4 linked regions of the Arabidopsis thaliana genome follow. The protein of the gene in region 4 purifies or fractionates together with the protein of the main gene of each other region. This does not show direct contact. Each region holds a gene or a part of one and is shown on either strand. Other genes may lie near its edges.

What was found.
Region 1: the proteins of CLPS3 (region 4) and CPSF100 purify together in Arabidopsis thaliana (affinity purification with western blotting, with the first as the bait; one study listed by BioGRID). This does not show direct contact.
Region 2: the proteins of CLPS3 (region 4) and CPSF160 purify together in Arabidopsis thaliana (affinity purification with western blotting, with the first as the bait; one study listed by BioGRID). This does not show direct contact.
Region 3: the proteins of CLPS3 (region 4) and FY purify together in Arabidopsis thaliana (affinity purification with western blotting, with the first as the bait; one study listed by BioGRID). This does not show direct contact.

Annotation. Positions count from the first base shown.
Region 1 is NC_003076.8:8,050,010-8,059,513, forward strand, and holds CPSF100 (cleavage and polyadenylation specificity factor 100), read left to right. Parts: upstream 1-2,429; 5' UTR 2,430-2,540; coding exon 2,541-2,689; intron 2,690-2,767; coding exon 2,768-2,936; intron 2,937-3,014; coding exon 3,015-3,111; intron 3,112-3,313; coding exon 3,314-3,440; intron 3,441-3,541; coding exon 3,542-3,660; intron 3,661-3,763; coding exon 3,764-3,858; intron 3,859-3,941; coding exon 3,942-4,093; intron 4,094-4,178; coding exon 4,179-4,236; intron 4,237-4,382; coding exon 4,383-4,490; intron 4,491-5,370; coding exon 5,371-5,614; intron 5,615-5,981; coding exon 5,982-6,166; intron 6,167-6,542; coding exon 6,543-6,635; intron 6,636-7,184; coding exon 7,185-7,283; intron 7,284-7,370; coding exon 7,371-7,502; intron 7,503-7,591; coding exon 7,592-7,636; intron 7,637-7,718; coding exon 7,719-7,964; intron 7,965-8,036; coding exon 8,037-8,138; 3' UTR 8,139-8,456; downstream 8,457-9,504. Other genes in the region: AT5G23890 (GPI-anchored adhesin-like protein), read left to right, coding at 8,780-9,059, 9,476-9,504. UniProt on the Arabidopsis thaliana protein: CPSF plays a key role in pre-mRNA 3'-end formation, recognizing the AAUAAA signal sequence and interacting with poly(A)polymerase and other factors to bring about cleavage and poly(A) addition. Required for antisense-RNA-mediated gene silencing.
Region 2 is NC_003076.8:20,977,269-20,983,548, forward strand, and holds the start of CPSF160 (cleavage and polyadenylation specificity factor 160), read left to right. Parts: upstream 1-2,736; 5' UTR 2,737-2,981; coding exon 2,982-3,313; intron 3,314-3,402; coding exon 3,403-3,549; intron 3,550-3,881; coding exon 3,882-4,035; intron 4,036-4,142; coding exon 4,143-4,278; intron 4,279-4,619; coding exon 4,620-4,765; intron 4,766-5,089; coding exon 5,090-5,185; intron 5,186-5,301; coding exon 5,302-5,354; intron 5,355-5,532; coding exon 5,533-5,664; intron 5,665-5,772; coding exon 5,773-5,824; intron 5,825-5,917; coding exon 5,918-6,037; intron 6,038-6,126; coding exon 6,127-6,258; intron 6,259-6,280. Other genes in the region: YLS7 (trichome birefringence-like protein (DUF828)), read right to left, coding at 1-110; AT5G51650 (uncharacterized protein), read right to left, coding at 935-1,132, 1,175-1,555, 1,940-1,981. UniProt on the Arabidopsis thaliana protein: CPSF plays a key role in pre-mRNA 3'-end formation, recognizing the AAUAAA signal sequence and interacting with poly(A)polymerase and other factors to bring about cleavage and poly(A) addition.
Region 3 is NC_003076.8:4,325,195-4,334,308, reverse strand, and holds FY (Transducin/WD40 repeat-like superfamily protein), read left to right. Parts: upstream 1-2,337; 5' UTR 2,338-2,681; exon of another isoform or gene 2,682-2,751; coding exon of another isoform or gene 2,752-2,787; coding exon 2,788-2,875; intron 2,876-2,955; coding exon 2,956-3,047; intron 3,048-3,256; coding exon 3,257-3,394; intron 3,395-3,472; coding exon 3,473-3,577; intron 3,578-3,723; coding exon 3,724-3,819; intron 3,820-3,923; coding exon 3,924-4,006; intron 4,007-4,119; coding exon 4,120-4,191; intron 4,192-4,262; coding exon 4,263-4,360; intron 4,361-4,678; coding exon 4,679-4,738; intron 4,739-4,847; coding exon 4,848-4,908; intron 4,909-4,997; coding exon 4,998-5,085; intron 5,086-5,200; coding exon 5,201-5,264; intron 5,265-5,514; coding exon 5,515-5,593; intron 5,594-5,815; coding exon 5,816-5,905; intron 5,906-6,030; coding exon 6,031-6,113; intron 6,114-6,590; coding exon 6,591-7,039; intron 7,040-7,191; coding exon 7,192-7,362; coding exon of another isoform or gene 7,363-7,380; exon of another isoform or gene 7,381-7,530; intron 7,531-7,611; and 4 more.
Region 4 is NC_003074.8:1,268,253-1,275,156, reverse strand, and holds CLPS3 (CLP-similar protein 3), read left to right. Parts: upstream 1-2,152; 5' UTR 2,153-2,352; exon of another isoform or gene 2,353-2,633; 5' UTR 2,634-2,741; coding exon 2,742-2,963; intron 2,964-3,443; coding exon 3,444-3,512; intron 3,513-3,593; coding exon 3,594-3,689; intron 3,690-3,774; coding exon 3,775-4,016; intron 4,017-4,101; coding exon 4,102-4,240; intron 4,241-4,348; coding exon 4,349-4,540; intron 4,541-4,627; coding exon 4,628-4,866; intron 4,867-4,968; coding exon 4,969-5,104; 3' UTR 5,105-5,396; downstream 5,397-6,904. Other genes in the region: ANX1 (Malectin/receptor-like protein kinase family protein), read left to right, coding at 1-1,771. UniProt on the Arabidopsis thaliana protein: Required for endonucleolytic cleavage during polyadenylation-dependent pre-mRNA 3'-end formation. Functions in gametophyte, embryo and postembryotic development.

The sequences.
Region 1 (9,504 bases), on a different chromosome or scaffold from region 4:
TTGGACGCTTCAATGGTGAAAGAAGGAGACTGGGAATGAAAACGGCGTCGTTGAGTTCTATGCCTGTTGTATCAAAGGAAAATAATTGATTTGGGGATTTAAGAGGGAAATGGAAAGGTTTATAGTATTTATAGATAATAAAGATTTTGTGGAAAGTAATTCATTTGGAGAAGAAAGGGAAAGGAGAGGTCAAGTTGGCAAAGAGGTAAGAGAAAGAGAGAGATTTATGATATTGATAGGCACAAAGAAGTTTTTGCCATCTTACAATTTGTTTTCCTTTCTATGAAAAAGATTGATTGTTGTTACCAATTGTTAGAAATCTCTTATCATCTTTAAAAAAAAAACTCATATCATATCTATGCATAAATATGTATGTATAATTCACCACATGGAGAGACTCACTTATTTTTCATGTGTATGTGTGTAAAGAGAGACATATCTGACCCAAAAAAATAATCTTTGATTTGTTATTGTTTACATTAATTTATTTATTAGAAATATAAAGTCCACATGATATTTTCTTCCTTAAGAACTTTAGCTTTAAAAATAGATGAAATTTTTCTGTTGAGCTAAAAGATTCATTTCCCTCTATACATTCAGATTTCTATTTTCGTTTAGTAAATATTTCCTTGTAATTCTACTGTGGTCCACCATTGTAAATTCATTGTTTATGTTTTTGTAAGAATTTTCAATCTGTAAATGTATTGAAATCCAATTTCTGTATTGGTATTAAAAACAAATTTCAGTGACAGCCACAGGCTCACAAAAACAGTTCTACACTACTACTTATCAGTTTCACACGAGAGCTAAGTTTAGTTATGTGCAGTAGACAGCATAGGGCGTAGATAAGGCCAAAAAACAAAAAACAAATGATTAAAAAAAAGTTTTTTTTTTTGCAAGAATAACCATATTTTGATACTTTCTTTTTATTTATTTATAAAAAATGTATTGTATTTTTAGATATTTTTCTAAGTATGGAGATGGGTCTTGATGGGTGGGTCACCAGCTGATGAATTAGAATCGAAAATCACATTCTTAGGTGTCTTTTGGTTTAGGTTCACCGAATCTTCTTAATCTATCTTTAAAGAACCAAAAAAAAACACACACAAACAATTGTCTTCAATCTCTCTGGTCATTTTTCTTATGAAAACAAGTATAATAATTACATTTATTTACACTCTTTAACTAATCAACCTATTATTACCTAACTACAACTTTCATATTCATATCAAGAAAGAAAGGTTTGATAGTTAGTTATGGTTGTTATCCTTAGCCATTATGATTTTGGTTTGGTCCTCACGGGTCCTCCTTCACCAAATGCATATGTTTTTTTTTTTTTTTTTTTTTTTTTTGTGTTGCCTTTGAAGTGAAGCTATCACAATTTTGAATCAAAATGTTGTTTGGCTTTCTAACGTGCATCAATAAAATCAGGAAGAACTTATCATTCGTCACAATCAACATACCAGCTACTTGTTTCTTATTGTCCATCATATTCCTAACAAATGATATATATAGTTCATCTCGAACTATTGAATTATTAAGTATTACGCAACACACCTATGTCAAATGATCTGAACTTCGATACTATATCAGAATTCAAATACGTTTAATTCAAAATTAACTGAAAGTGAATTCATTCATTAATATCTCTTATTTCATAGAAGAGATTTCCAACATTTTTTTACCATTGTAGTGATCTTTTAGTTGCAACATTTACTAATTAGTGATAAGAGAGCACACATGTGGGAGAATTAGGCACGTGTGAAGAGCTAAAGAGAAGCATGAGAAGAATAAAAGAGTATAAATAGGGATATTAGAGAGGAATTATAGAGATTATCCTGCGTGATCATTGATGTTGTGAGGAGAATTAGGGCTTGTGTGCTATGTTCTTGATGATAAGAGATGAGCATTGTAACTCCGATCTTATCAATATAGGGTTTTGATTCATTGTAATTGGGATTTACGGATAATAAATACAAAGGTTTATGCGTAAGTTCTTATCAACTTGTAATGGTCTTCTGGTTGCACCATATGCTCATAGATCTAGTGTATTTGGTACAACTGCTTAAAAGTTTTTGATTTACTCTAGTATATTTAACGGAGATTTGCCTATTTTTCCTTAAGGGTGTGTTTAATGTTTTCATGTTGAAACAATGAATGAAGTTTCATGTAATTTTAAATGAATGAGCAATCATAATGAAACCGATCTACTTTGAAGTTTGAACATACAATAGAATTGACTCATATGCTTATAATGGACTCACCATCTATGTTTCACTGCTACCACAACATTTTTTGGTAAAAGATTCACTAATCCCTCTTTGTGTTGGTTAAAAAATCAAGGTAAAGAGAGAAAAAATTTCAAAGATTATATGTACCAAATGAACAATTTGAAAAGAAAAGGGTTATTTTAGAAGTAAAAGGAAATATATGGACCGGGGAGGTTATTATTACAGAATTAAAAAACCCTCTTTCACGGTGGCTTCTTCTTCTTTAGTTCATCGGAGAAATTTTAGGGTTTATATCGGCGAACGGAAAAGATGGGTACTTCGGTGCAAGTGACTCCTCTCTGCGGAGTTTACAACGAGAATCCTCTCTCCTACTTAGTCTCCATTGATGGTTTCAACTTCCTCATCGACTGTGGTTGGAACGATCTCTTCGACACATCGCTCCTCGAACCTCTCTCCAGGTTTCTCTATCCTTATTATCTACATTTCCAGAATTCACCAATCTAATTTGTTTTGAATTCGATTCTTCTGGTTTACAGGGTTGCTTCTACTATAGATGCAGTTTTGCTTTCTCATCCAGATACACTTCACATTGGTGCTCTTCCTTATGCTATGAAGCAGCTTGGACTCTCCGCTCCTGTTTATGCTACTGAGCCTGTTCATAGATTAGGTCTCCTTACAATGTATGATCAGTTTTTGTCCAGGAAGGTGAGATTTTGTTAACTACTGGAGTGGTTATTTTTGCGCAATTGTCTGCATTGTAACACGATGATCTTACTGTTGCAGCAAGTATCCGACTTTGATCTGTTTACACTGGATGACATAGATTCTGCTTTCCAGAATGTGATCAGATTGACTTACTCTCAAAATTACCATCTTTCTGGTATGTGGTTTTAGTGATTTCTAGGCTCTATAGCAAACTAGAAACAATTGACACTTATCTCAAGCAAGTTTGATCTGCATTATCTATGATCTCATATCGGGAAGGAGTTCTTTGACACACATTGAGTATTTGGTTGTTGAAACCTAAGTTATGACTTCAAAGATTGTTAGGATGTCTCAAGGTTTTATCGTTGCCCTATCAGGAAAGGGAGAGGGTATTGTAATTGCTCCTCATGTTGCTGGACACATGCTGGGAGGTAGCATCTGGAGGATAACAAAGGATGGGGAGGATGTTATATATGCTGTTGACTACAATCATCGGAAAGAAAGGTACATATGTTCAGATTTTATCTTATTTGAAGTTCGAGTAATGTTCATAACAGTAAGTAAAGATGTGGACTCGTGATACTGAATTGTATATCTTAATTCAGGCATTTGAATGGAACTGTTTTACAGTCTTTTGTTCGGCCTGCTGTTCTGATAACCGATGCATATCATGCTCTTTATACCAATCAAACCGCAAGACAGCAAAGGGACAAAGAATTTCTAGGTTAGCTTGTAGCCCAATATGTGTTGTGTATCTTCTATAGTATTTAAAACAGCCCGCTTCTAACTGCCAGAAACATGTGTGCATGTCCCCATTTATCATTCAGATACCATTTCAAAACATCTTGAAGTTGGAGGAAATGTTCTATTGCCAGTAGACACTGCGGGTCGTGTCCTGGAACTTCTCTTGATACTTGAACAGGTAATAGAACCGCTTTGAATGTATCATGCTCTTAGTTAATGTTCAGCTGTTTTTTAAAGACTGGATATTGATCAAACCTGCAGCATTGGTCACAAAGAGGTTTCAGCTTTCCCATTTATTTTCTCACGTACGTGTCATCTAGCACAATTGACTATGTTAAGAGTTTCCTCGAGTGGATGAGTGACTCCATTTCAAAGTCCTTTGAGACTTCACGTGATAATGCCTTTCTATTGAGGTAGATTTTCTTATAAGAATGCCTTATTTGTGCCGTCGTTTGTTTAGAATACAGAAGACATCACATGAAATTTAAACACATGCAGGCATGTCACTCTGTTGATAAACAAGACTGATCTGGATAATGCTCCACCTGGTCCAAAGGTTGTTTATAAAATTATAAGTAACTCATTAGTGTTTGTTAGTACATAGAACGTGGTGGATTTATTATTATTTCCTGTCTTTTCAGCTGATAATAGAACTAGATTTTTTCCTATTATATGTTGTAGTGACTAAATCTCATAATATAGGTTGTTCTTGCTTCCATGGCTAGTCTCGAAGCCGGTTTTGCTCGAGAGATATTCGTGGAGTGGGCAAATGATCCCAGAAATTTAGTCCTCTTTACTGAAACAGGCCAGGTATGTTTTTAGAACCCACATACGTTGAGGAACGAAAATTTATTAGCATTGCTATAAAGACCTGATGGTAGATTCTTTTCCTAGTGCTGATCAGCTAGTTAAGTGGATATATGAGAATCTTTTTTGTCTTCTGATCTGAATAAGAGTTCCCCCATTTATGTGTGGATATTTACCCCCAATATGTACACAATAGGCAGAGATTGAGTACCTTAAAGCAGCATTATAATTACCACCAAAGCCTGGCTTGCTCCTTTAGGATAATCTCCAGAGCTTTCAGTCTTGAATTTATCAATTAGTTACATCCAGTACAAAATAAAGGGTCTTAGTAGACTATCATATTAATGGAATTGACACCACTATGCACAAACTGTCTAATTGGCCATATCATTCATCTCAAATGAACATAATTTTTTTTTGTAACCGCGTACTTTGTTTATTTTTCTTCTAGCGAGACATCATCCTGTTCCCTGAAATATCATACTTTTAATTAAAATTCAATCTAGACAAAAATAAATTTATTCAAATAAATAGTTTGGAAACAAATGGAAGCTTTGGTTAATTATTCACGCTTTTCTCAGTTCTGTGTGACTATGCTTTCTTGTCCATGTCAATCTATCCAGAAAACAGAGCATTACGGAATTATTAAGTTTGAAATACCAGTAACACCGTAAATCCAAGTGAAATTATCGAAGTTCTTCATCCAATTTGTTACCTTTGCCATTGGTCGTGTTCCTTAGTTGCGATGGCGATTATACTTTCCATGTGTCCATTCATAGTTCACGTGATCTAAGATTTGCAAGATGTTTCGGTTTGTAGTCAATCACATAAAACTAAACTGCTGTTAGTTTGATTTTTAATTGTCATTTGCTTCTATTTGCAGTTTGGCACTTTAGCTCGTATGCTTCAGTCAGCCCCACCTCCAAAATTTGTTAAAGTCACCATGTCTAAGAGGGTTCCTTTGGCTGGGGAAGAGTTAATTGCATATGAGGAAGAGCAAAACAGACTGAAAAGGGAAGAAGCTTTGCGAGCTAGCCTCGTTAAAGAGGAGGAAACAAAAGCTTCCCATGGATCCGATGATAATTCAAGTGAACCTATGATCATAGATACCAAGACTACTCACGATGGTAAATTTTTTCTTATTTTATATAACATTTTATTACCCTTGAATATTCTGTGGCCTGTAACTTCTTATTTTTCATGTAAACTTTAACTTAATTGAAGTATCTAGTACTGAAAATGGCTATGCACATAGTACCCTCTGTAATGTACTGGTTAGTTGGTTTTAGGAGGCATTTATGTGGTTATCTTGAGTGACCTAGAAGCTACATTTAGAAGTCTCACAATACATTTCTGGGTAATTTGTTTAGTTTTTCACAGTCCCACAATATGTGTCTGTTTCAATTAGACCTCTGGCTACCGTTGTTGATTGCTCTTCTTTCCACTACATAGTGGTCTGCAACTGACCTTTTACATTTCTGACTACTCTTGCAGTTATTGGTTCTCACGGGCCTGCATATAAAGATATATTGATTGATGGATTTGTTCCCCCATCCAGCAGCGTAGCTCCAATGTTCCCATATTATGATAACACATCTGAATGGGACGACTTTGGGGAGATTATTAATCCAGATGACTATGTGATCAAGGATGAAGACATGGACCGAGGAGCAATGCATGTACGTTCCTTGAATTCTGGTCTTGGTCTTGGTCTTTCTTAGCTCTTGTTATATTTGCAAATTAGACCTCTTAATTTCCATGATGTTTGCATAGTGGTGGTTCCTTTTACGATTTTTGTATCAAGAAGAACAAAGATGTAAGAAATCTGCATGATATGCTCTGAGGATTTGGGATACAGATAGGAAATCTTTTGCCATAAAGTTGCTTAGGCTCTTGATTTGGTATGAGTGCAGTTCTTCAAATGAGTGCACTGGTTCTACAGTTCCATCTTTATATTTTCCTTAACAACTGATTGCTTACTAGTAAAGGTTTAGGGTCATTCTATGTAGAGTCTTGTGTTGCTTATTAAATTTGTGATATAATTTTCCATTTCAGAACGGAGGTGATGTGGACGGAAGGCTTGATGAGGCAACTGCTAGTCTCATGCTTGATACAAGACCTTCGAAAGTCATGTCCAATGAGCTCATTGTAAGTAGACTCTAATTATATCCAAAGAACAATACATTGATAGAGATTTTGTCTCAGTTAATGTCCTCATTTGTTCTCCCTTTCTAGAATCTCTGATTATTGTTATAGACTGCTTATCAATGATAGGCACAAGGAGTAGTCTTCTCACTTAGAAATAGAGAGATAGGAATTCTCATTGACATGGCGTTGTGCCTGTCAAATTTATCTTCATCTGATGATATGCATACAAGAAATTTATTAATTGATCTTCTAATTAGTTATCACGGGAGACCTTGCTAATCAGATCTTTAGCACGATAATTCAACTTACAGATATTTTGTTGTTTGGATTAATCGGTCTAATTTTCTTCTTGTTATTGAACAACTTTTGTGTTCTTACTTTTACCCACTTGATCTTATGTCATGTAGAAGTTTCAGAAGGTTATTCTCAGAACGTAGGCCTTGCCTGCTAAACAAAACAATATGGCTCTTTAGTCTTCTTCTGTCTATACCTAACTGCTGTCTAATTTCCCTGATAAATGATTTAGTTTGTTCTTATGCTTTTGCACAGGTGACTGTTAGTTGTTCACTTGTTAAAATGGACTATGAAGGTCGGTCAGATGGCCGCTCAATCAAGTCAATGATTGCGCATGTTTCTCCTTTAAAACTTGTACGTTTCTCTCTCGTCTTATATATATATAGTGTTAAGCACTGAACTGGAAACTTGCGGTGATCTAATACTATATATCATGTGAAGGTTTTGGTGCACGCGATAGCTGAGGCTACAGAGCATTTGAAGCAACACTGCTTGAACAACATCTGTCCACACGTGTATGCTCCTCAAATAGAGGAAACGGTCGATGTGACTTCTGATTTATGTGCTTACAAGGTAGAAATTACTTAGAATTAGGAAGATCCTTTTTAACTCATGGGTTTTGAGTTGTGTGATTGAATTAACCCTGTATGGTGATACATCAGGTCCAACTTTCTGAAAAGCTGATGAGCAATGTGATCTTCAAGAAGGTACCTTTTATTTCCGTGACTATTTTTTTCTTCTTTTCCGATTTGCAACCAATGTCTCTGAAGAATGATGAAATAATATCAGCTGGGAGATTCAGAAGTAGCTTGGGTGGATTCCGAAGTAGGGAAGACAGAGAGGGACATGAGGTCTCTACTACCGATGCCAGGTGCTGCTTCGCCACACAAACCTGTTCTAGTAGGTGATCTGAAAATCGCAGACTTCAAGCAGTTTCTGTCGAGCAAGGGTGTTCAGGTAGAATTTGCAGGTGGAGGAGCTTTACGTTGTGGTGAATATGTCACTCTACGAAAGGTTGGACCGACGGGTCAAAAGGTAATTCAAAGCAAATACTGCATTTCTTACAACAAATCAGAGAATGACTTATATATGTTGGGGATTGTTCAGGGAGGAGCATCGGGTCCACAGCAAATTCTGATAGAAGGACCGTTGTGTGAAGACTATTACAAAATCAGGGATTATCTCTATTCTCAGTTCTACCTCCTCTGAGCATGATATAGAAAAAAAATGAAGCTTCTTCTCATTTTCTCAACATTTTTCAACCACTCAACATGTAATCTCGTATAGTTTATTGCCTTGCTTATAACCCTCAAATCTTATAGATTAATGTGTTAAAAATGGCAATAGCTTTTTGTAACTTTTTTGTACTTGTCATCTTAGTAGAAGCTTAAGTTGTCATTGGATATATTCCACTCCTATTTCGGTAAAGCGGTAAACTAAAACAGTAAAACGTGATAAACTCTCTTCTTTGTTCCTTGTATGTTCTCTCAAAAGTTTAAAATGAAAGCGAAAACACTTTCCATTCAAGAGCTTTCAACACCTGGTCTTGGCTTCGTGCTGACGTGGCATCTAGCTTTTTTTTTTCACTTGTGAATTAAACCAACCATATGTGTTAAACATGGAAAGATAAATAAAAGCAATTAGGTGGTTAGGTGTGTTAGTGTGAGGCTGATCACTGTCCAACGCTCTCCCTTTGTGCAATATTCTGTAACGAAACCAACCAAAAACACAGAATACATTTGATACAATTACTTTAATTCCAATTAAACCCTAATCCTCCTCTACCATTCTTCTACTGACGATTCTCTTCATATTTTCTTATCCTCTCTTACTCTCTCTACAATCAAACCATGGCTTCTGCGACCGCCACGTGGACACCTACCTCCCTCCAGCTTCGTCTCGCTTTGAGCTCCGGCGTGCGTCGGAAATCTCCCGCCGTTTACTTACGACCATCGCGATTGGCTAGGAAATCGGGTTATGGAATTGTCTGTGTTTCGCAGAAGCCTGAAGTTGATGCGTGGACCGGATCGGATTCGTCAAAGTCGTCGGCTGATAATTTGGCTGGGTGGGATGATTCCGATAACGATGACAAGAAGTCTTCCAGAGTTAAGAAGAAGAGTTTGATTGAAGGTATATGCGGATGAACATCTGTTTTTGGATTCTGATTTTATTTTTCAGTGTGATTCGGAGTTTTCGAGGTTTCGTAAGAACCAGCTGGTGAAATGTTTGATTACACAATGAAGCTAAAACTATATGGCTGCATAGTTTACAAGTGTAATTTGGTAGGAGCCATGAGTGTTGTTTTCTTATGGATGTACTACACATAATCTTTAGATTGAGTTGATGAACCGTATACGCCGATTTGTTTTTGTGGTCAATTGTTATTGAGAGGTTCGCTAAACAGCGCACATACTCAAATGGTACATTGCATGTTACGTTGGAGTTTGGTTAAGTCTCTTTAGCATTTTGATTTCTCTGTTCTGAAGCTGTTTAGTTTACCGGTTTTCTTGTGGACTAATAACAATCTGGAACTAGTTTGCTTTCAGGTGTAGTTGGGGCTGGAGTGGCTGGAATC
Region 2 (6,280 bases), on a different chromosome or scaffold from region 4:
ATGACGAAAGAAGTTAATCCACCAATAGCAAATGCAATTGAAGAAACTTTTCGAGGAAACAACAACACAGTCGTCTTTGAATTTGAAACTCGTGGAGAAGCCAAAGTCATGATTTTTCTGCACAAAACCTATAAAAAAAAACAGAGCAATCATTCATTGATGGATTACATATCTAACTGGGTTCCGCTAAATCACAATAAAGTTTCGATTTTTACAATTTGTTTACTAATCTCTATTAGGTGAAAAAAGGAATCAATAAGAGAAAAACTTACATTTAGAATTGAAAACGAGACAAGGACGATCGAAGAAGCTTTTGCTTTGGAGAGGAATAAATAAATCGACAAGATCTGGGAGTTTGAGAGAGAAGCGTGGAAGGAAGAACAATGTTATGAATTGTTAAAGTCAAACTTATTTTAGTCAAAAAAAAAAAAAACTAAACAATTTAGGAGTTTTTTATTTTTCTTCTTTTGAAGTTATTTTTGATTTGGTTATTGTGTATGATATTATAATTCATATAATTATTACGGTTATATTTCATAATTAGTTTAATCGTGTATGTTCAACTTTTTTAATTGAACTAGATTATTAGTTAAACTAAATCGAATTACGATTGGTTAGACTGTTAGATTTTTATTAAATCAAATTTAACTTGAAAATAAATCAAAATCTTCACTCTTCATTTTGATTAAACTAAACAAAAAATAAACTAAACAATTTAGGAGTTTTTTCTTTTTTCTTTTTTGAAGTTTTTTATTGATTTGGTCATTTTGCATGATATTATAATTATTACGGTTATATTTCATAATTAGTTTAATCGTGTATGTCCAACTTTTTTAATTGAACTAGATTATTAGTTAAACTAAACCGAACTACATTTGGTTAGACTATTAGATTTTTATTATATCAAACTTAACTTGAAAATAAATCAAAATCCTCACTCTCGATTAACAATAAACGTTTTCCCTTTCTTCCCCTTCTTGCGCTTGTTCTTTTCAAGCTTCTTCTCCTTCATCAACTTTTCAATAAACTCATCGTTCTTTTTCTCAAACTCTCTCAGAAGTTTCTTAAGTTGCTGCTTGTCGTTTGCCAGTTTCCTTAAATCTGCAGTAGTTAGTTTGATTTTACTTCCAAACTTGATTCACAGAGAAATAAGCTTCCTTATGTCATTCTCCACGTCATCCTCCTCCTCCTCTTTCTTCTTGTCCTTCTTCTTCTCCTTGAGATCCCAGATAATGCCAACTTCTTCTTCAAGGATTTTTGTATCAAAGTAGTCATTTTCGTTACCAGGTGCAGAAACAGTCCACTTGGAGTAGTTGATAAGGTCACGTTCAAGGTTAAAGTGATGAATGGCATATGTGTATGCAACAGACACAGATCCATCCTTTTCCCATGAGACATGAGCCTCTTCTTTCTCCTTCTCCACAAGAACCTTTTCAACTCCCTCTTCTTTCCCTTGAGCTTCAAGTCCCTCTTTCCTCTCCTGAACCACACGTTGAACTCCTTTGGCCACTAAAGGATGCCAAAAATCCTCGAAAAGGAATCGAGGCTTTGGAGCCTAAGAGAGTATCTCTTTGTGAATAGTTTTAACAAGCACAGTGTAAAAATTTTCTTCCTTGACATTTTTTCTTCTGGTAATGAGAAATAAGATAAAAATTTGGAGAAAAAGAGGATGAAGCAGAAGAAGAAGTATGTAAAAAGAGTAGTTATAGGTGGTTAAACTTAAAGCTATCATTGTTGTCGTCTTGTATGGGGGAGGAACACTCAAAATCGTTTCACAGAGACTTGCAGGAGGTTTCTTATTTTATGAGGACAAGAGGTGAGAAGTAGAGGAAGCCCAAAGTTGGTTATTTTCCTTTTCAAGATTTTTCAACAATTAATAAGAAATATTATATGAACGTATCTTTAAATCAATTAATTATTAGCATTTGTTTTCATAAACCTTATAAGGCATCCCCTTGTTCTCCAAAACAATTACTGTCATCCTCTTTCTAAGTGAAAATTATATTTTTTTTTATCGTCTCTAAGTTGTTTAAGGGGTTAAAATACTAATTACAAAAACACAATCTAAAACATAAATAATAAATACGTTTATCTCTTACATATTTTTGCTGAGATTTTTTTATTAGAAGTATAAAGATTTTTGGGGAAATTTGATACTAAGGATCTTTTTTAGAACTAAAAAGGAAAACAAAAATATTTTACAAAATGATATATTTCGATATATAAAGTTTTAATGCAGTAATGAAACTCAAAATGATTGATAACACTTTCTAATACTTTTATGTTGCAAAAACAAAATCATGGTGCAAAATCCACTACTTTTATGTTGTAGTATATTTCTAGAAGAAATTTGGTTTCATGGTATATATTGGGTATTAAATAAAGATTGGACTATCTTCCCTTTGGCTTTGGTGTGTCATAGATAGTGATAAGAAATACCTCTTTTTTTGGGCATTATTTGTTGACAAACGATATAGAAAATTATAAACAAAATAAAGATCATTGGAAAAACATCATTTGACCAAAGATGTGTATATGTGTCCCAATCAGAAAGTTCATAACAAGTTCCTCTCTTCTCTTCTCAATTCTTATGCATCCACATCATCATTGATTTAATGCTTTTAAAAACAGAACATTACATTTATTTTTTTAAAAATGTATTACTTTTTGGACAATACAAGTTTGATACATATAACGGATTTCGCAAAATATTTCATGTTCTTTTTGCAAACAAATAATCCCCAAAAAAAACTAAAGGAAAAGAAATTCGTAAAGACCAAACTCGTAATAAAGAGTATATACTGTTTCCCCTTAAAAAAAAAAACCAACCTAAAATTAAAACCCGTGGGTTTAAGGATTTGATCTTTTAATGTTCACAAAATCGAGACCCTAAATTGCTCTCACACTCACTTCCCAATCTTCTTAGTTCAATTTCAATTTTTAGAATTAGAATCTCTGAATCCCAGATTCCGGTAGAGAAGATGAGTTTCGCGGCCTATAAGATGATGCATTGGCCTACCGGCGTCGAGAACTGTGCTTCCGGCTATATCACCCACTCTCTCTCCGATTCAACGCTACAGATTCCGATTGTTTCCGTTCATGATGATATTGAAGCTGAGTGGCCTAATCCTAAACGAGGTATTGGTCCTTTGCCCAACGTCGTTATAACCGCCGCAAATATCCTTGAGGTGTACATCGTTAGGGCTCAAGAGGAAGGGAATACTCAGGAGCTGAGGAATCCGAAGCTTGCTAAGCGTGGTGGAGTTATGGATGGTGTCTATGGTGTTTCTCTCGAGCTCGTGTGCCATTATAGGTACGTGTTTGTTGACAATTACCTCCTAAATTACTCCAATTTTGGTACTTTGACTTTGAAGTGACGATGTGATTGGTATTGGATTGTAGGTTGCACGGTAATGTTGAGTCAATTGCGGTTCTTCCTATGGGAGGTGGTAATTCTTCTAAGGGAAGAGATTCGATTATATTGACATTTCGCGACGCCAAAATTTCAGTTCTTGAGTTTGATGATTCAATTCACAGCCTTAGGATGACGTAAGAGTGTTTTGCTTTTGTTGGTTTTGGTAAATAAATAAATGAATTCAGCTTTAGTTTCAGCTCTGTCTCCTCTCAATTGTTTCTTTTGACCTATATACGAGATGTTCTGTGTCCAACTATTGTTTTAACTGTTTTATACTTCTCAAAGTTTTGGTCTTTACTTACGCATTGTTATTGTTTCTAGCGATGCAAGTTACGTAGTATTGGATCATATACTGAAGCGTTCTATTGTCTATGTCTGATTGTTTCTTCTAGTTATCTAATTTATGTACCATTGACTCCTATACATGACTTCAACAAATAATAATGGATATGTGGTTCCTTTTCAGTTCGATGCATTGTTTTGAGGGTCCAGATTGGCTTCATCTGAAAAGAGGAAGAGAGTCTTTTCCAAGAGGCCCTTTGGTAAAAGTGGATCCTCAAGGCAGATGTGGCGGCGTTCTTGTTTATGGTTTGCAGATGATCATACTCAAGACTTCCCAGGTTTTTGTTTTGGCATTATTAATCAACTTCATCTTAACTGTCGCTTTATCTGCTACAAATTTCCAACCTTCATTCTTTTCTTTTATGAACTTTATTTTGGGTTTTAGGTTGGTTCTGGACTAGTTGGAGATGATGATGCGTTCAGTTCTGGAGGGACAGTTTCTGCTCGAGTTGAATCATCTTACATAATTAACTTGCGTGATCTGGAAATGAAACACGTCAAAGATTTTGTTTTTCTACATGGTAGGTTTAGCAAGCAAGGTTTCTTCATAAACTTATCTCTGAATCAGTAGTTAATCATAAATATATTATGATGATTGTTTCTTAGCTGCTCAACTTGCATCGAATCTTGTGTCCTTGAATGGATCTAGCTTACTAAGTTGTTGTTTGTAGATTCAATACGACAACTGATGTATTCTGGTCATGATTACAGTTTGAAACAAGAGGAAATGTATTGTTTCTTTGATTTTTCAATAACTAGCTGTCTGAAATTTTAGATATTCTAGTTTTCCCAGTAGGCATAAAGAATAAACTAAGTGGTGCTTCTTTTGATTATGTGTTTTTGCATCCTGTGTCTTCTTCAGGTTATATTGAGCCTGTAATTGTCATCCTTCAGGAAGAAGAGCATACTTGGGCTGGGCGAGTTTCATGGAAGCACCATACTTGCGTGCTTTCTGCCCTTAGTATCAATTCGACATTAAAACAACACCCAGTCATCTGGTCAGCTATTGTATGTTCGTATTTTCCTCTTTGTATCTTATAATAGATCTCTTCCCAAGAAATTAAATATTTGAGTTGCACTATTAACTATATTGTAAGCTAAGGGTAGAAATTGAAGTCATCTAAAAGGTTATTGAATATCCACTGTTGTTACATGACTAGACTTTCCAATCAGCTATGACGATGCTCTATTTTTTGTTTAGAATGCTCAAAGAGTTGATCTTTCTTTAGGAAAAATTTCCTAAAATAACAAGCTATTTCATGACTGAAATAGTTACTTCGGCAAACGTTAGTCCCTGATCATACTTATTCCCATTCTTTTGGTATTTTCCAGAATCTGCCCCATGATGCCTACAAACTACTTGCAGTACCATCTCCGATCGGAGGTGTTCTTGTGTTGTGTGCAAATACAATCCATTATCATAGTCAGGTAGTTTTATATTACTTAGCTTTTGGTTGTTTCTTGTTTAAAATTCAACAATTCCAGCCACTCCACCTCAAAGTTCTACAGTTACTCACACATCTGGATACCATATATATTTGTAGTCAGCCTCCTGTGCTCTGGCACTGAACAATTATGCCTCCTCAGCTGATAGCAGGTACAGTTTTCTCGCACCTCCCCACTCTTCAAAACCTGCTTCATGCTTATGGATATAATCTTGTTACCTCAGTCTTAGTTTAGAATCCTAAAGCTTAGAATCAACTTTCAACATTTGTAAAACTCTGTTTATACTGTTAACCACATTTCTATCTCTGTGTGCGTCTGATTTCTTTCAGTCAAGAACTGCCTGCATCAAATTTCAGTGTGGAGCTTGATGCTGCCCATGGAACCTGGATATCGAACGATGTGGCCCTATTGTCGACAAAATCTGGGGAATTGTTGCTGCTGACTCTTATATATGATGGGCGGTAGTATTTTGATCTTCTTTAAAAAAAAATCTTCTGACGCTTGTAAAGCTGGCTGCAACTTATTTTGTTTAAAATATGTGAAACTGACTGCTACTTTCTTTTTTGAAGTGCTGTACAGAGACTTGATCTTTCCAAATCAAAAGCCTCTGTGCTTGCTTCGGTTAGTCAATATGTTCTTTCAGCATATTTGTACTTCAATTTGGATCCTGTTCGATTAGAGATTCCCTATGATGATATACCAAATTTCTTGCAGGACATTACTAGTGTTGGAAATTCCCTTTTCTTTTTAGGTAGCCGGTTGGGAGACAGTTTACTGGTGCAATTTTCCTGTAGATCTGGGCCTGCAGCATCATTACCTGGCTTGAGAGATGAGGTGATAGTTTAATCTTTCTTAGGCTGGTCAGAGTAACTTCTTTTTAAAATTGTTAATCCAGAACTTGAAAATTTCCTAAATTTATGCAGGATGAAGACATTGAAGGTGAGGGTCATCAAGCAAAACGTTTGAGGATGACTTCTGATACTTTCCAAGATACAATTGGAAATGAGGAGCTTTCATTGTTTGGTTCAACTCCAAATAACTCTGATTCAGCACAGGTAACAAGTTCTGTCTTGGTTA
Region 3 (9,114 bases), on a different chromosome or scaffold from region 4:
AACCCGACTAAGCTTTCTCTTGCCACACTTCAACCTTTTATTCAAAAGATTACCGAGCAGCTTAACTCCTGGACAACCAAGTTTCTCTCTTATGCTGGGAAAATCCGGTTAATAGTATCTGTTGTTTATGGGAAAGTGAACTTCTGGAGTCAAGTCTTTGTTCTACCAAAGGGTTTTTATAAGAAAATTGACAATCTCTGCTCTGCTTTTTTGTGGAAAAATACTACTTCGTCTGCAAGAGGTGCAAGAGTTGCTTGGAAGGACATTTGTAAGACAAAAGAGGAGGGTGGGTTAGGTATTCGATCTCTTGAGGAATTTGCTACTGTTTTCAGGTTGAAACAGGTTTGGCACCTCTTTACTAGAAGGGGCTCATTGTGGGTTATGTGGTTGGACCATAACATCTTCGGAAGAAGGAACTATTGGTTGATGGATAGCACACCACGTCTATCTTGGAACATTAGGAAGATGTTGGAAGTAAAATCTGTGTTCCAGAGATTGATTAAATGTCAGATGCGAGACGGTATGAAAGCCTCTTTCTGGTTTGATTATTGGACAAGCCTTGGTCCCCTTATTGAGCTTTTTGGTCAGTTGGGCCCAAGAGAGCTTCGGATCAGTAGAAATGCTAGCGTTTGGGAAGCTACACATGAAGGTCAATGGCATTTTCCCAATGCGAGATCTCACCAAGCTGAGCAGTTGCAGATTTGCTTGTCCTCGGTTGCCCCGCCTTCTCCTTTAAGAGGTGCTGATTGGTACCAATGGAAGCAGCCCACAGGTACTTTTTCTGAAACATTCTCTTCGAAAGGAACTTGGATGCAAATTAGACAAATTTCTCCTCATGTGGCTTGGCATAAAGCTGTCTGGTTTAAGGAATCTGTCCCAAGGTTTTCATTTATCCTTTGGATGGCTTCCCATGAAAGGTTGACAACGAGAGATAGGCTTTTACAGTGGGGTATGAATGTACATGGTTCTTGTGTTCTGTGTGATTCTGGCCTTGATTCCCATGATCACTTGTTCTTCAAATGTGAGTTTTCTAGATCACTTTGGATTTCGCTCGCTGGAAGGATTTCGCCGAATCCTCCACTCTCTTTACCCTTGGCTTCTATGTGGGTTCTTGGTGTACATTCTTCTCCGCCGCACTATGCAAGTAAGATCTTAAAACTTCTTCTTCAAACCGCTGTTTATATGATTTGGAAAGAGCGCAACCGCAGAGATTTCTCAGCAGATGCTACCTCTCTCTCCGCTACAAAAATTCTCGTTGATCGCACAATGCGTAACCGTCTCATCTCCTTCTCGCCGGAGGAATCAGTTACCACTATCTCTCTCCTTGGATTCTACTTTGGTTGTATTAGTACCCCACTATAGGTGTGGCAAAGCTCATATTTATGTATGTATGGTGTTCCATTAGTCTCTCTTCACAAGAGCTCGGTGTGTTTTTGGGGTTTCATTGTACTATGTAAACCTTTTTTCATTTGGTATAAATCTTAACATTAAACCAAAAAAAAAAAAATGTTGAAACCTGTTAACATAGTCTATTTATACTCTATAAGTGCAAAACAGGGTTTTAACATGATTAAGTTTCGTAGTGGAATATAATAGCGGATTGGGATTGTGTTTCATATAGCATTGCCATTGGGATGTAGTGAATCTTGTTTGGAATAACGTATATCGATTTTTTTTTTTTTTTGTTATTTGGGAGATTTTAAGTTCTAATATGACAAGATTATAACATTTAATTTAACATTAAACCAAAAAAAAAAAGATTGTAACATTTTCTGAATTTTTGTAATTCGTTTTACTAGTGTCAGTTTTTTTTTCTTTTACTTTTAACTCTTTCAAATATTTAGTTATTTTAATGTTTTAAAAAAAAAGACTAATTTGCATCACCACTATCTTTGGGTTGAATATTTATTCAATATGTTCCACTATGAATACGTGAATTATGTGTGTGTTTTCATCTACAATTCATACACACACTCTGTCATGATTGTGAAATAAGCAGTAAAACAACAACAATACTAGAAAAAACCACACTTTGGGACATTAGAGTTCGATGTGAATACAATACTAGGATTTTCTTAATGTTAATGGCGATGCCTCTATTCATTCTTCTTCCTCTTTCTTTTATAGTCGTCCTTCACGTGTCCTGCCCGATCCGCAGTATCCACCCTAGAATCTCGTTGATCTCAACAGTTCTTCAGATCTTTTTCATGCCATCTCGCGGTTAGTTGCTTAAGATACACTCCTCGAGCTTGTTGATCAACCGGAAGGCCGACGGATGGGTTTACTAAACAAACTCATCCGTTATTTCCTACTCGCAATACATAGTTCAGCCTGAACATATGTGTCTAATTGATAGGGTAGGCCAAGTAACAACATACACCCAAAAAAAAAAAAATAAAAAAAAAAATAAAAAAATCGTGGAGATTAAAAAAGCTAAACCAATCGACTTCTTGATTAGTTTGATGATTTTATTAATCTTATCGGTTAAAACCGACCGGCGATCGAGGGTTTGGCTTGCCGAGAAGGAAGAAAAAAAAACCCTAAGATTTATTTCTACTCTTCACTCCATTATCGACTTCTCATCATTTCTCTACCCATTGTACTTCTCTGCTCTTGGGTTGTCATCAATTCGCGAATTTGATACACGCACACCCTAAAGAGAGATCCACGCTCGTTTCAAGGTAACCTAAATTCGAACACTTTCGCAGTTTCCCTTCGATTCGAATAAATCACTGTTCTCCGTGGGCAACAATGTACGCCGGCGGCGATATGCACAGGGGTTCACAGATGCCACAACCACCGATGATGCGGCAGTCGTCAGCTTCTTCCACTAACATCAATCCCGACTACCACCACCCATCTGGCCCCTTCGACCGTAAGTAGACTTTGAGCGTCTTCCTTTTATCGGATTAGTGATGACTGTGAGATTTAATGTCTCTCTGTCTGATGTTGCAGCCAATGTAGACAGTTTTGGGGCGAAACGAATGAGAAAGCATACACAGAGAAGAGCTGTTGATTACACCAGCACCGTTGTTAGATATATTCAGGTAATGTATTCCCATTGCTGCTCACAGTATTTCTTTGTTAGAACCTTTTGTACTGCTTGATTATATTTCTCTTGTTTTCTGTAAAGTTTTAGTCTTGGTCTATATACTCATAGCCTCTGCTTTCCCCAGTTGAATTCTTCGGTCCTTTTTATCTCAAAAGCCATTAGATAGGATTGTCTTTATGTCATGGAACTGATATGGATATGTAGTTCAACGAACTCATACTTTATATGGAACTAAAAGTAGAGAGTGTTTACTCCATATATGTTTTTGTTCAGGCTCGAACATGGCAGCGAGACTCAAGGGATAGGACCACTCTGCAACCAACCCCAGCTGCAGCAGTTGATGTTAGATTTCTTTGCTTTTCTGGGTTTTGCAATAAGATTGAATGGTTTACTGATCTAACTTTTATATCAATGCTTCAGATGCTTCCCACAGTTGCCTATTCGGATAATCCTTCAACAAGCTTTGCTGCAAAGTTTGTTCACGCATCTCTAAACAAGAACCGTTGTTCAATCAACCGTGTATTGGTATATCCCTCTACCAGCTGTGTGTTTTGTATTATTCTCTGTTTGCCATGTTTATCTATTCAAGAAAGCAACATCTTTCTTTCTTTGTTTTAACTCTATTATGCCAACTTAATGGGATCATTGCTGATTGGGTTTCTTTTATTTAGTGGACACCTTCAGGAAGACGTCTTATCACGGGCTCCCAAAGTGGGGAGTTTACTCTTTGGAATGGGCAATCTTTTAATTTTGAAATGATTCTTCAGGTTCGTTTCTCAGATTGTATAACTAATCTGTTGAAACTTCTGTTTTGATTCTTCTATAGTTGCTGCTCCTGGTATTGACTGTTTAAATTTGTTGTCAATATCAGGCACATGATCAACCTATTAGGTCGATGGTATGGAGCCACAATGAAAATTATATGGTTTCTGGTGATGATGGAGGCACATTAAAGTAAATTTGTTTTTCCCTTTCAGTCCCTAACTTATGATGTTGTAAACGAGAAGCTCAGAATTCTATGATTCAAATGCTGTGACAATAAGGATCAATTGTTTCTTATGTATCAGGTATTGGCAGAACAATATGAACAATGTGAAAGCCAATAAAACTGCTCACAAGGAATCAATTCGCGATTTAAGGTAAAAAAAAGTTTGATATGTTGAATTGCATTAAATGAATCTCTCAAAACTGAACAATGTGTATCCAACAGTTTTTGTAAAACAGATTTGAAGTTCTGTTCGTGTTCTGATGATACGACTGTTAAAGTCTGGGATTTTACCAAGTGCGTAGATGAAAGCTCATTAACCGGTAATGTTATTTGAACAGATTGGCGGCAGATACTTTATTTCTTTGTTGCTTGCTCTTCTAATTTGAATTTAGAAGGCCGCTTGAGATGTGCTGTACGTTATTAGAATTGGATTCTTAGGCTACATAGGAAAAGGTGTCATTGAGATTCGCTTTGGTGTCATGCCATGTAACGTTAGTTAGTTTTAAAGGTTCCAAATTGGTGCTTATAACAAGTTTCCTATCCTTTTGGAGGCATGTTTTCACAGTTTTCTTCATATTTGTAATATTTGAGAACTTTCGAAGTAATCAAAGGGTTCTTTATATTTTGAACTCAGGCAGGCCATGGTTGGGATGTCAAGAGCGTTGACTGGCACCCCACAAAGTCCCTACTAGTTTCTGGTACATTATTTTATAGACTTCTATTTGAATAATGCAATAAAAAGAAACCGCTGTATATTTCAGAGCTTCTCTATGGCTGATCATTAACCGCTTTAATCTGTGTTGTCAGGTGGAAAAGACCAACTTGTCAAACTCTGGGATACTAGATCTGGGAGAGAGCTTTGCTCACTGTAAGTAGTACATAATGTAATATGTAATTTTATTATAGTTTCATGTTCAAAGCTTTGACGAATTTGATGGCCTATTCTTACTTCTGCAGCCATGGTCACAAAAACATAGTACTTAGCGTGAAGTGGAACCAAAATGGCAATTGGCTTTTAACGGCCTCGAAAGATCAGATAATTAAGGTAAGTCTCACTTTCTTTTGGGTGGGGGGGGGGGGGGGGGATATTGATTTGTAAATGAGATTTTTTCCTTGCATTATGGAAGCATTTGTATGACACTTATGCATGTAATCTGCAGCTGTATGATATAAGGACTATGAAGGAGCTTCAATCCTTTCGTGGGCACACGAAAGATGTAACATGTAAGCTGTCAAATTCTATAATGATCATGTTTTAAACACGTGAAATCAGACAAACTGGCCGCATCAAATTACTTTTCTGTACATTGACTAGGACTCTAGAGTATATGCCTTTGAAAGATTATCATTGTACCCATGCTTTACTTGTCGACATATGAGACATTATCCCATGGATGCGAGTTTTCAATTTGTTTCTTCGATATTTCTAATTTGCAACTATTTCTAATTAAAAGTTGTCTTAACTCTTTTTAAGCTTTGGCGTGGCATCCCTGCCATGAAGAATATTTTGTCAGTGGGAGCTCTGACGGCTCCATTTGTCATTGGATTGTGGGGTAGGTACTGTTGTGCAGCAGTATGCTGTTTTATTTATTCGTTCATGCTGCTATTGTTTTAATCACTTATAAGGGTTTTTTAAATCATGTTTCTTCTCTACATTTTATATTCAGTCATGATGCATCTACATACTAGTAGTCTAGTAGCATCTTACTTTACCTTATATTTTGTGGTTTTTGTTTGAGGTGTATCTAATTATGAAAACTTTTCTTAATTCCCAGGCATGAAAACCCGCAGATTGAAATCCCAAATGCTCATGATAACAGTGTTTGGGATCTTGCATGGCATCCTATTGGATATCTTCTTTGCAGGTAGCAATTTCAATAGTCTGGTGCTATGAGTTCCTTACAGTTTTATTCTATGATGTGTTGTGGTTCCCTGTGCTCTTGAATAACTAAATGCTTCAGATAATGATTTTTAACCCTATTATCTGCAGTGGTAGCAATGATCACACAACCAAGTTTTGGTGCAGAAACAGGCCTGCAGATAATCCCCGAGATGTTCTTATGCAGAACCAAGGTTTGTTTTTGGGCTATTAGTATCTGATTTTTTAGTAGGCATTGGGATGGATAGGTTGTGGGTAGTACATAATTACTATGTCCTTATCCATCTCAGTAGTAAGGATGTTGTGATAGGCTTAACTGGTCAGGCCCTGGCAGGGTCAGTCATATACTCCTATAATGGCTGGTTCGAAATGGACCTTGGCTTTTTAAGGTTCAGGCTCGGCCAGCCATATGGCACCGTGATTAACTGAATTTTTTTGTAGAAAAGAACAGACTTGACTGGTCAAGCTGAGCTGATCTGATATAGGTGCAGATTTCTACAGGCTTTAAAAACTCAGACCCAAGTACTCGGTCATTAGTATCTCACTTACTGTTTTAATTTTGAGCATGTACTTTCAAGTTGCATTTGTCAGAAATTAGTGTTTTTTATTTAGTGTTTACTAACAAATTGAAGATGTGATTTGTGTGTACTGATAAGCGTAATTTGTATCAGGCTATAATGAACAAGGTTTTGGTCGCCAACCTGATAATTTCCAACCATCTGAGGCATCGCCAATCCCTGGAGCATTTGTGCCTGGGTTGACACGGAACGAGGGGACTATCCCAGGAATAGGAATAGCAATGCCATTTGATGCATCCTCTCAAGGGGATCATAAACAGCCTCTTCCAGGTTCCATGGCACTGGGGGCTCCTCCTTTGCCACCTGGTCCCCACCCATCGCTTCTTGGAAGTGGCCAGCAGCAAGGGTATCAGCAACAACAACAACACCAAGGTCATCCCCAGCAAATGCTTCCAATGCCCAATATGCCTCACCATCAGCTACCACCATCATCTCATATGCCATTGCACCCTCATCATCTTCCCCGGCCTATGCAAATGCCTCCTCACGGTCACATGCCACCTCCCTCAATGCCTATGTCTCATCAGATGCCTGGATCAATGGTATGGCCCTCAGATCTCTTGTAATTCAACCACAACTTAAGCCTGGCTTTTGTCGGTACCCCATGTGTTGGATTCCTCTTTGTTTTATTTTCTTAGTGATATCTTAGAGAGGTGTAGAAAGAGATATTAATCCTCACTTGTTGTTGGAGTAGGGAATGCAAGGTGGCATGAATCCTCAGATGTCGCAAAGTCATTTTATGGGTGCTCCTTCAGGAGTATTTCAAGGACAACCAAACAGTGGCGGACCCCAAATGTATCCCCAAGGACGTGGTGGTTTCAACCGTCCACAGATGATTCCAGGCTACAACAACCCTTTCCAACAGGTCCCATTTAAACACTAGTCTTTTGTTATTTAGTATACCCGTAAAGGTTTCACATGTATATATGTGCAAATAGGCAAAATGTCTACACAACAATGCAAAACACCTGATACGATTGAACCACAATACAACTTTCTCAGCTAGTTTTAAACTCACTAGCTAGGTTCAATGGTATGATTAGATGTTGAAAATGTAGAGCTAAAATAGCATAATCCGTTGACTAATCCGTTGTCTATATTTTATTTCGTGCAGCAGCAGCAGCCACCTTTACCTCCTGGCCCTCCACCAAACAACAATCAGCAACATCAGTAGGCAGCCGTTGTATTAGTACATTAGTTTACAACCGCACTGTCTGCGGGATAAAACGATTGAAGTAAAACTATTATATGGGATTCAAATTTCGTTTCTATAAAACAAAACATAAAAAAAAAAGGTTTTTGTTCTGTTCCAATATGCAAATAATTTGTATTAGAATTTTTTGCACCCGTAAAATATTTGAGCATAGTAACAACTTCCATGTGGAGAAAGTATTGATGAAATACTATGATTTATGGCACATGTCTTTTTTGTATTTTTAATAATTAAATTCATATATTTTATGTTAAGTGACCACAGTCATAATACTCTAGTTTTGATACTTAATGTGAACAAGTTACGAAGTTTTAGTGGCTTCACATGTCAAATACTCTAGTTTTCGTTAACCCGACAAACTTTTTTTTTTTTTTTTTTTTTTTTCATAAATTTCCAATTAACCAAAAAAAGTTGCAATACAAAGCCAAAAGGCCAACACAGCACGCAGGCCTGAAAGAACAAAAAACAACCAAATACAAGTTTAAAAGGCTAGATCAAAGGCAGAAGCCCAGAAGACCCAAGCCACCACAGCAGACGGCGAAGGAGCTAGAACACCAAAGCCCGACCCTTTGAAAACCTGCACAAGGAGAAAGCATCAGACTTGAGGAGGATCTCTATTGAGGAAGAGAGAAAACCAAGAACCCAAAAGCGAGAGTCCGGATCTCCCAGGAGCGCGGGAGCGAGAGAGAGGATCCAACCGAGCCCTTATCACCATCTGAATTTCCTTAGTGATAAGATGAGAAGGCCGCCTGATTTCAAATTGAATACGAGCATTACGCTCTTTCCAAATAAAGTAGACAGAAGCTTGGAAGAGAAGCTTGATAATGAGCATTAGATTCTTGTCCCTTGTAGCCGAATTAAGCCACAGCAAGCAATTCATGAACTGAGGAGGCGGCGAAAATCCAACCGCCCTCATAAAGAAGGTCCAAATTCTTGAGCTGAACCTACAAGCAAAGAAGAGATGGTCCCGAGTTTCATCGACCAAGTTACACAGAACACACTCAGCATGAACAAGGAGCCCCCAACTTCTTAACCTGTCCCGAGTGTGTAGCCTATTCCAAGCAGTTACCCATGAGATGAAAGCATGCTTAGGAACCTGATTTGTAAACCAAACTGCCTTGTGCCAAGAGACTGAGACAGAGAACGGTTGGAGAGCTCTCCAAGTATCCGCTGTAGAAAACTTTGAAGAAGGCACCCGATCACCTACTTTCCAAAGATAAGAGTCATCATGCTCACAATCAACCAAATTCCCAACAGGAGGAAGAAGAGATTTCAGAAGAAGAATAACCGGATTCCTGCTTCTACTAGAGGCAATCCACCAGTCATCGTTCCTAATGGCGTCCCTGACAACAGAGGTAATGGAAAGCCCAACCAGCTGAGGACCGGTCAACCCCGTTAAGTGTA
Region 4 (6,904 bases):
CTACCAGAACATGCCGGTGTCTATAGCTCCAGCCGATATATACAAAACCGCAAGATCTCAAGGCCCAAACGGAGATATCAACCTCAAATCCAATCTTACATGGATGTTCCAAATCGATAAGAACTTCACCTACATTTTGAGACTCCATTTCTGCGAATTCCAGCTTTCCAAGATCAACCAGAAGGTTTTCAACATTTACATCAATAACAGAACAGCGCAGGCAGATACTACTCCTGCAGATATAATAGGGTGGACAGGAGAGAAAGGAATCCCGATGTACAAAGACTACGCGATATATGTTGATGCCAACAACGGAGGCGAAGAGATTACACTTCAGATGACTCCATCAACTTTTGGTCAACCGGAATATTATGATTCATCTCTTAACGGGTTAGAGATTTTCAAGATGGACACCATGAAAAATCTTGCGGGTCCAAACCCCGAGCCATCGCCTATGCAAGCTGAGGAAGAGGTTAAAAAAGAATTCAAGAACGAAAAGAGACACGCTTTCATCATTGGTTCGGCCGGAGGAGTTTTAGCGGTTTTAATCGGTGCCTTGTGTTTCACGGCCTACAAGAAGAAACAAGGATATCAAGGAGGCGACTCTCACACATCAAGTTGGCTTCCTATATATGGAAACTCTACCACATCAGGAACCAAATCAACCATCTCAGGGAAGAGCAACAATGGAAGTCACCTATCCAATCTCGCAGCAGGTTTATGCCGTAGATTCTCTTTACCAGAAATCAAACACGGAACACAAAACTTCGATGATTCCAACGTCATTGGAGTTGGAGGGTTTGGTAAAGTCTACAAAGGAGTTATAGACGGCACAACTAAAGTAGCGGTAAAAAAATCAAACCCAAATTCAGAACAAGGACTCAACGAATTCGAGACAGAAATCGAACTCCTCTCAAGACTAAGACACAAACACTTAGTCTCCTTGATAGGATACTGCGACGAGGGAGGAGAAATGTGTCTCGTATACGATTACATGGCATTTGGAACACTCCGTGAGCATCTATACAACACAAAGAAACCACAATTAACTTGGAAACGAAGGCTAGAGATAGCTATTGGAGCAGCAAGAGGATTACATTACCTTCACACAGGAGCAAAGTACACGATTATACACAGAGACGTTAAAACAACTAACATCCTCGTAGATGAGAACTGGGTAGCCAAAGTTTCAGACTTTGGGTTATCCAAAACTGGACCTAACATGAATGGAGGCCATGTAACAACCGTCGTCAAAGGAAGCTTCGGTTATTTAGATCCTGAATACTTCAGAAGACAACAACTGACTGAGAAATCAGACGTTTACTCATTCGGAGTTGTTCTGTTCGAAATCTTATGCGCAAGACCAGCGTTAAACCCGAGTTTGCCTAAGGAACAAGTGAGTCTCGGAGACTGGGCAATGAATTGCAAACGAAAAGGGAATTTAGAGGATATAATCGATCCGAATCTGAAAGGGAAGATCAATGCAGAGTGTTTGAAGAAATTTGCAGACACGGCGGAGAAGTGTCTTAACGATAGTGGATTAGAACGGCCGACAATGGGAGATGTTTTGTGGAATCTCGAATTCGCACTTCAGCTTCAAGAGACTGCTGACGGGACTCGTCATCGGACTCCGAATAATGGAGGAAGCTCTGAGGATCTCGGTAGAGGAGGCATGGCGGTTAACGTCGCCGGTAGAGATGATGTGAGTGATCTCTCCTCAGAGGACAATACCGAAATATTCTCTCAGATTGTAAATCCCAAAGGACGATAAGGTAATTTCGCAATACGTATACTAATTTTGTTTTTCTTCTCTTAATTTTGGTGTTAAAGTTTTTGTTTTTGTGTTAATTGCAGGATTAGAAAAGGAATCTGGGTAACAAAATTTGAAGATGATTTCATTTATATTGAGTGGTATTTTTCAATAAAAACATTTGTAAAATTATATCCCTTTGTGATGTTACATGTAATCAAAAATACATTGTATTAAGATTCGTAGTTAGAATTTTTCTATGGTAAATTTTTGTATTAAGTTATATTTTACTGAGTTTATTAAGCTAGAAACAAATTATTATATTAACCGGAAAACTGTATAGTAGAAAAATGGAAAAGGTTGTTCAGGTCGGTTAACGGCTCAAACCGGGATTAATTCGTTTTCCAATTTTGCCTTAATCGAAAAAATGGAAATTACAGCGATATAAACCTAAAGTAAATTGATTTCGTAAGTCGAATTCACTGTTTCTCCTCAAACACACACACACGTTTGCGAATCTCCGACGTCCGTTTCTCCTCGCCGTAGAATCGCCGTTCATTCTTTCGCCGCCTTCAGTCTTCCCTCCATTGACCCTTTTTTTGGTAATTCGTCTTCTTTTTGCTCTCTCGTTCTCTCTTTTTCGATTTCTGGGTACAGAAATCGATGGCTCTCGTTTTTCTTTCTCTGTTGCTGTTCTATTACTTTCTCTTATATATATATGATTGTTACTCTAGTGATGAATTTTGATACATTGGTTGTTTGAAATTGATCTCTGTTGTGCTTTTATAATTCCGGGGTCAAGATTGGCTGTTTAAATCTAGTAAAGTTTGCATTTTTCTTTTCTGTTTGCAGAGATTAACTTGATTATACTTTTGTTTTTAAGAAGAAGAAGAGCGATTACAAGCGCAAGTGTGTATAATGACTTAAAGAGAGCTCCTGTTACTCCGAGTGATAGATAGTCTACAATTATATCTTACTCTGAGTGAAAGCAATGGCGTACGGTGGTCCGTCCATGAATCCACCGGCTTTGAGTGGAGCTGTTCCCGGGTCTGCTAATCTGAAGCAAGTGAAATTGGAGAGAGAAAGCGAGCTCAGGATCGAAGTCTCTGAAGAGCCTCTCAGACTCCGTGTGGTTAACGGGACCGCTGAGATTTTTGGCTCTGAACTGCCTCCTGAAATATGGCGTACCTTCCCTCCTCGCATGAAATTTGCGGTATGTGTTTTCTTAATCCTTGGTTTTTAGAGCGATCGTAAGCATTATGCTTTATGGCTTATAGATAAAATGTAGCTTGTTGGTAACATATTTGGTGTTGGGTTTGTTGGTAGAAAATAACTAGCCATTCTTGATTTAGTTTCTTTTAGTGGTTATCTTTCTTAAAGTGGGTTCTTGAGTTACTATTGAATTCACCCTCTGGCCTTTTGGGGTTGGAAAGGTACATCCTTTGCCAGTGAAGTTTGAGGGTTTTTGGGTTTGAGTTGGATGAAAGACTTATGATTTAGGTTGTAAATGAAGATTATGCTGTCTAGGTAAGAATTGTTAAGTGGGTTGTATAAAAAGATTGATGATAGATGTGATTTTCCCCCCCAATTTCTTTCTTTTCTATTTTTCCTTCTGCTAATGATTTATGTAAAGTTCATAATCGGAGCTCTGAAACACCGTGCTTACCATCTTGTGCCTTTTGATTATTGTCAGGTTTTCACTTGGTATGGAGCGACAATTGAGATGGATGGTGTCACGGAAACTGACTATACAGCAGATGAGGTTGGATTACTTGTTTCATTCCTACGCTTGCTTTAAATATGTAGAGCAAATTTTGTTTACTAACTACATCTCTGTTTCCAGACGCCGATGGTCAGCTACATTAATGTGCATGCCATACTAGATGCAAGGAGACGTTTTGCCAAAGCTTCCACATCTAATGACCCAGAATCTTCTCAGGTACTTTTCTTCGATATTCAATATTATTGTATTGCAATATCAGCATAGTTAAAACACTTGGTTCTTAAGAATTCACTTAATGCAGGGACCTCGGGTTATTGTAGTAGGGCCTACGGATTCCGGGAAGAGCACATTGACAAAGATGCTCCTTAGTTGGGCAGCTAAACAGGGATGGAGACCTACATTTGTAGACCTTGATGTTGGCCAAGGCTCGATTACAATACCAGGATCTATTGCTGCTGCCCCTATTGAAATGCCACTGGATCCAGTTGAAGGGTTTCCTCTTGATATGGCCCTTGTTTACTACTACGGCCACGCATCACCAAAGTAAGTGATTCTCAAATTTCTCCTACCCATCATACGTTATTCCCCTCGATGAGGAATTTAAATATGTCTACTTTGGCTCTCTCAGTATGAACGTTGAACTGTACAAAGCTCTGGTGAAAGAGCTTGCTCAAGTTCTGGAGAAACAGTTTGTCGGAAACCCTGAATCGCGAGCTGCTGGAATGGTGATCAACACAATGGGATGGATCGAGGGGATTGGTTATGAGGTAAAAGTTAGATCCTTTTTAGCGTATTTTTTGGTATAGTTAGCTCCTTCTTAGTGGATTTCATTATGCAAATGCCTGATAAAGAACTGTATCTGCTTCGTCTTGCAGCTGCTTCTCCACGCAATAGACACATTCAATGCCTCGGTTGTACTTGTATTGGGTCAGGAAAAACTCTTCAGCAGGCTTAAAGATGTGCTGAGAAGTAAGAGTAATGTCGACGTCGTGAAGCTTCACAAGTCTGGTGGAGTTGTAGCCAGGGTCAAAGAGGTCCGTAAAAGATCAAGGAACTTTAAGATTCAGGTAAAATTTTCAATCTCAAATCTTTTAATATCCCTTTTTTCATGCCTTTGGAGGTGTAACTCAGAACTCAAAAACTGAATTTTCCAGGAATATTTTTACGGTTTATCGAAAGAACTCTCTCCGTATGCCAATACATCGAGTTTCAGTGATCTGCAAGTGTTCCGAATTGGTGGTGGACCACAAGCGCCAAAATCGGCTCTTCCAGCCGGGTCTACCTCGGTTTCAAATCCGTTGCGGGTGACGCCTGTAAATATCGATGATCGGGATCTGCTGCATTCTGTTCTTGCTGTCTCATACGCAGAAGAACCAGACCAGATCATCTCAAGGTAATCTCTAAAAGTTCTTGCTGTTTCCAGAATCAAAGGCTTTCGTGTATGTTTTCTTCGTGATTTTGATATTTCTTTCTCTCTGTTTTTTCTTTGATACAGCAATGTTTCTGGGTTTGTGTATGTGACGGAAGTTAATGTGCAGAAGAAGAAGATAACGTATTTAGCACCATCGCCTGGGACATTACCTAGCAAGTTGTTGGTCGCTGGATCATTGGCATGGCTTGAGTCAGTATGACTTACTTAGAGAAGAGAGGAGCCATGTTTTTTGCTTGAGAGAATGATGCAGCAGCTCGATTATGTAACGTTAATTACAAATAGCCTTTTTCTTCTTTATCAAATGCACAAGTTTTTGAGTTTAAAAGATCATTATTGCGGAATAGATGGTTGGTTGTAATTTGATGTTATGAAGTGAGCAAAAAATAATGTTGATTTACTAGTGCGTTAGTTCTGTTTGTTTGGTTCAGCATATTCAAGTGATGTGTGTAGCATTTTTAAATTTGATAGGTCGAACATATCTTATGTTATTGGATGATTTCGAAATAGTATATGATAATGTTCAAAGTCACACATGTATTATTATTGGTTATTAATTCAACTAAATTACTATCACATTTTAAGTCACTTCAATTGTATTGTTGTATAAGCTCTGTATTTAGAATCGGATCCGAAGAATATTAGTTGGTCTGTCTAACCAAGTCGCATTAATCTTATATGATTCTCCTAGAATAGAAAAGAATATTTTATTCTTATGCTAATTCAATTGAAAGATAATTAAAACGGATATGTTTTGAGTTCAAAATGTTAAAATTGTCATTCATTTGCAATAGACAAAACATATTTAGAAAATTCTAAATTTACATGCTACAAGATCTTCTATATGCTTTAATAGCCTCATTTTTTTTTTTAACCCTGCACATTAAATACAGAAAATTTCAATCATTTGACTGATGATTAGAGATTTATAGATATAAGAAGAAAGTTTCACTTATCATTGTGAATATGATAAAACAAGAATAATAAAAATATCGTATAATTAACAACAAGAACAACAAACACAAAAAAAAAAACAGAAAGAAAGAAAACAAAAAAGAGCTAGTCAACAATCGTGATTCGTGATACAACGTGCTAGAGAGACGACCAGATGAGATAGGGCACGTGTCGAAATCTATACCGTTACTTTTCTAACTCCGTGCTCGGAATTCGAAATCAACGGGAGACACGTGGGTTCCACAATGGACGTTATTTCCATTTCATGACAATCGAGAAATAGTTAAATAAAAAATAAAAAATATTTTCTAAAATGAATACAAAATCAATTCGAATTTTGCTTTGGAATTAGAATCATTTTTAAAACATATGAATATAGTAGTACAAGAATTTTACTGAGTCAATGTCCAATTATCATTAAAGATATTTGACTCTAATCCATTCTCTTTCTCTAATTTTTCTTTAAAGATATTATAGTTAATCACATCATTTACTTTAAGAGAAAGATATCCGAAAATCAGAAAATGTTAAGATACATTATCTAATTTCCTTTAATTGATACGGTTTATGATTTTAATCAATTTTCTATTTGTACGAAAAACAGTAGGTATAAAGTAGGTCCACTAGTAGGACCCACCTAAGAAACTCTTTTTTAACAGAGGGCTCTGTTTTTTTTTTCTTCCTCTCCTCTGAAACTGCGACGACCACATCTCTGTTCTGTATTCCACTTATGTTTTTGTGTTTGGTTTTATTTTCCCCAGAAATTGAATAACTTTAGCTTTTAAGAATAAAAAGGAAAATTTAAAATTGAAATTTGGTCTCCTTGAGAAGTGAATAAATGAAGAAAAAAAGGAAATAAAAAGGGGTTTTTGGTAATATTTAAAAATTGTAGAAATGGTGGTGGTGGGGGAATTTTAAGTAAAAGCAAGTCTAAACTCTTCCCCACCCACAAAGCAAAAGTCATAACCTTTGACACTTTTTTATCTCACCATCTCTATCTCTCTCTCTCTCTCACAAAGAAACAAACAAGACAAATCTTTCTTTCTCT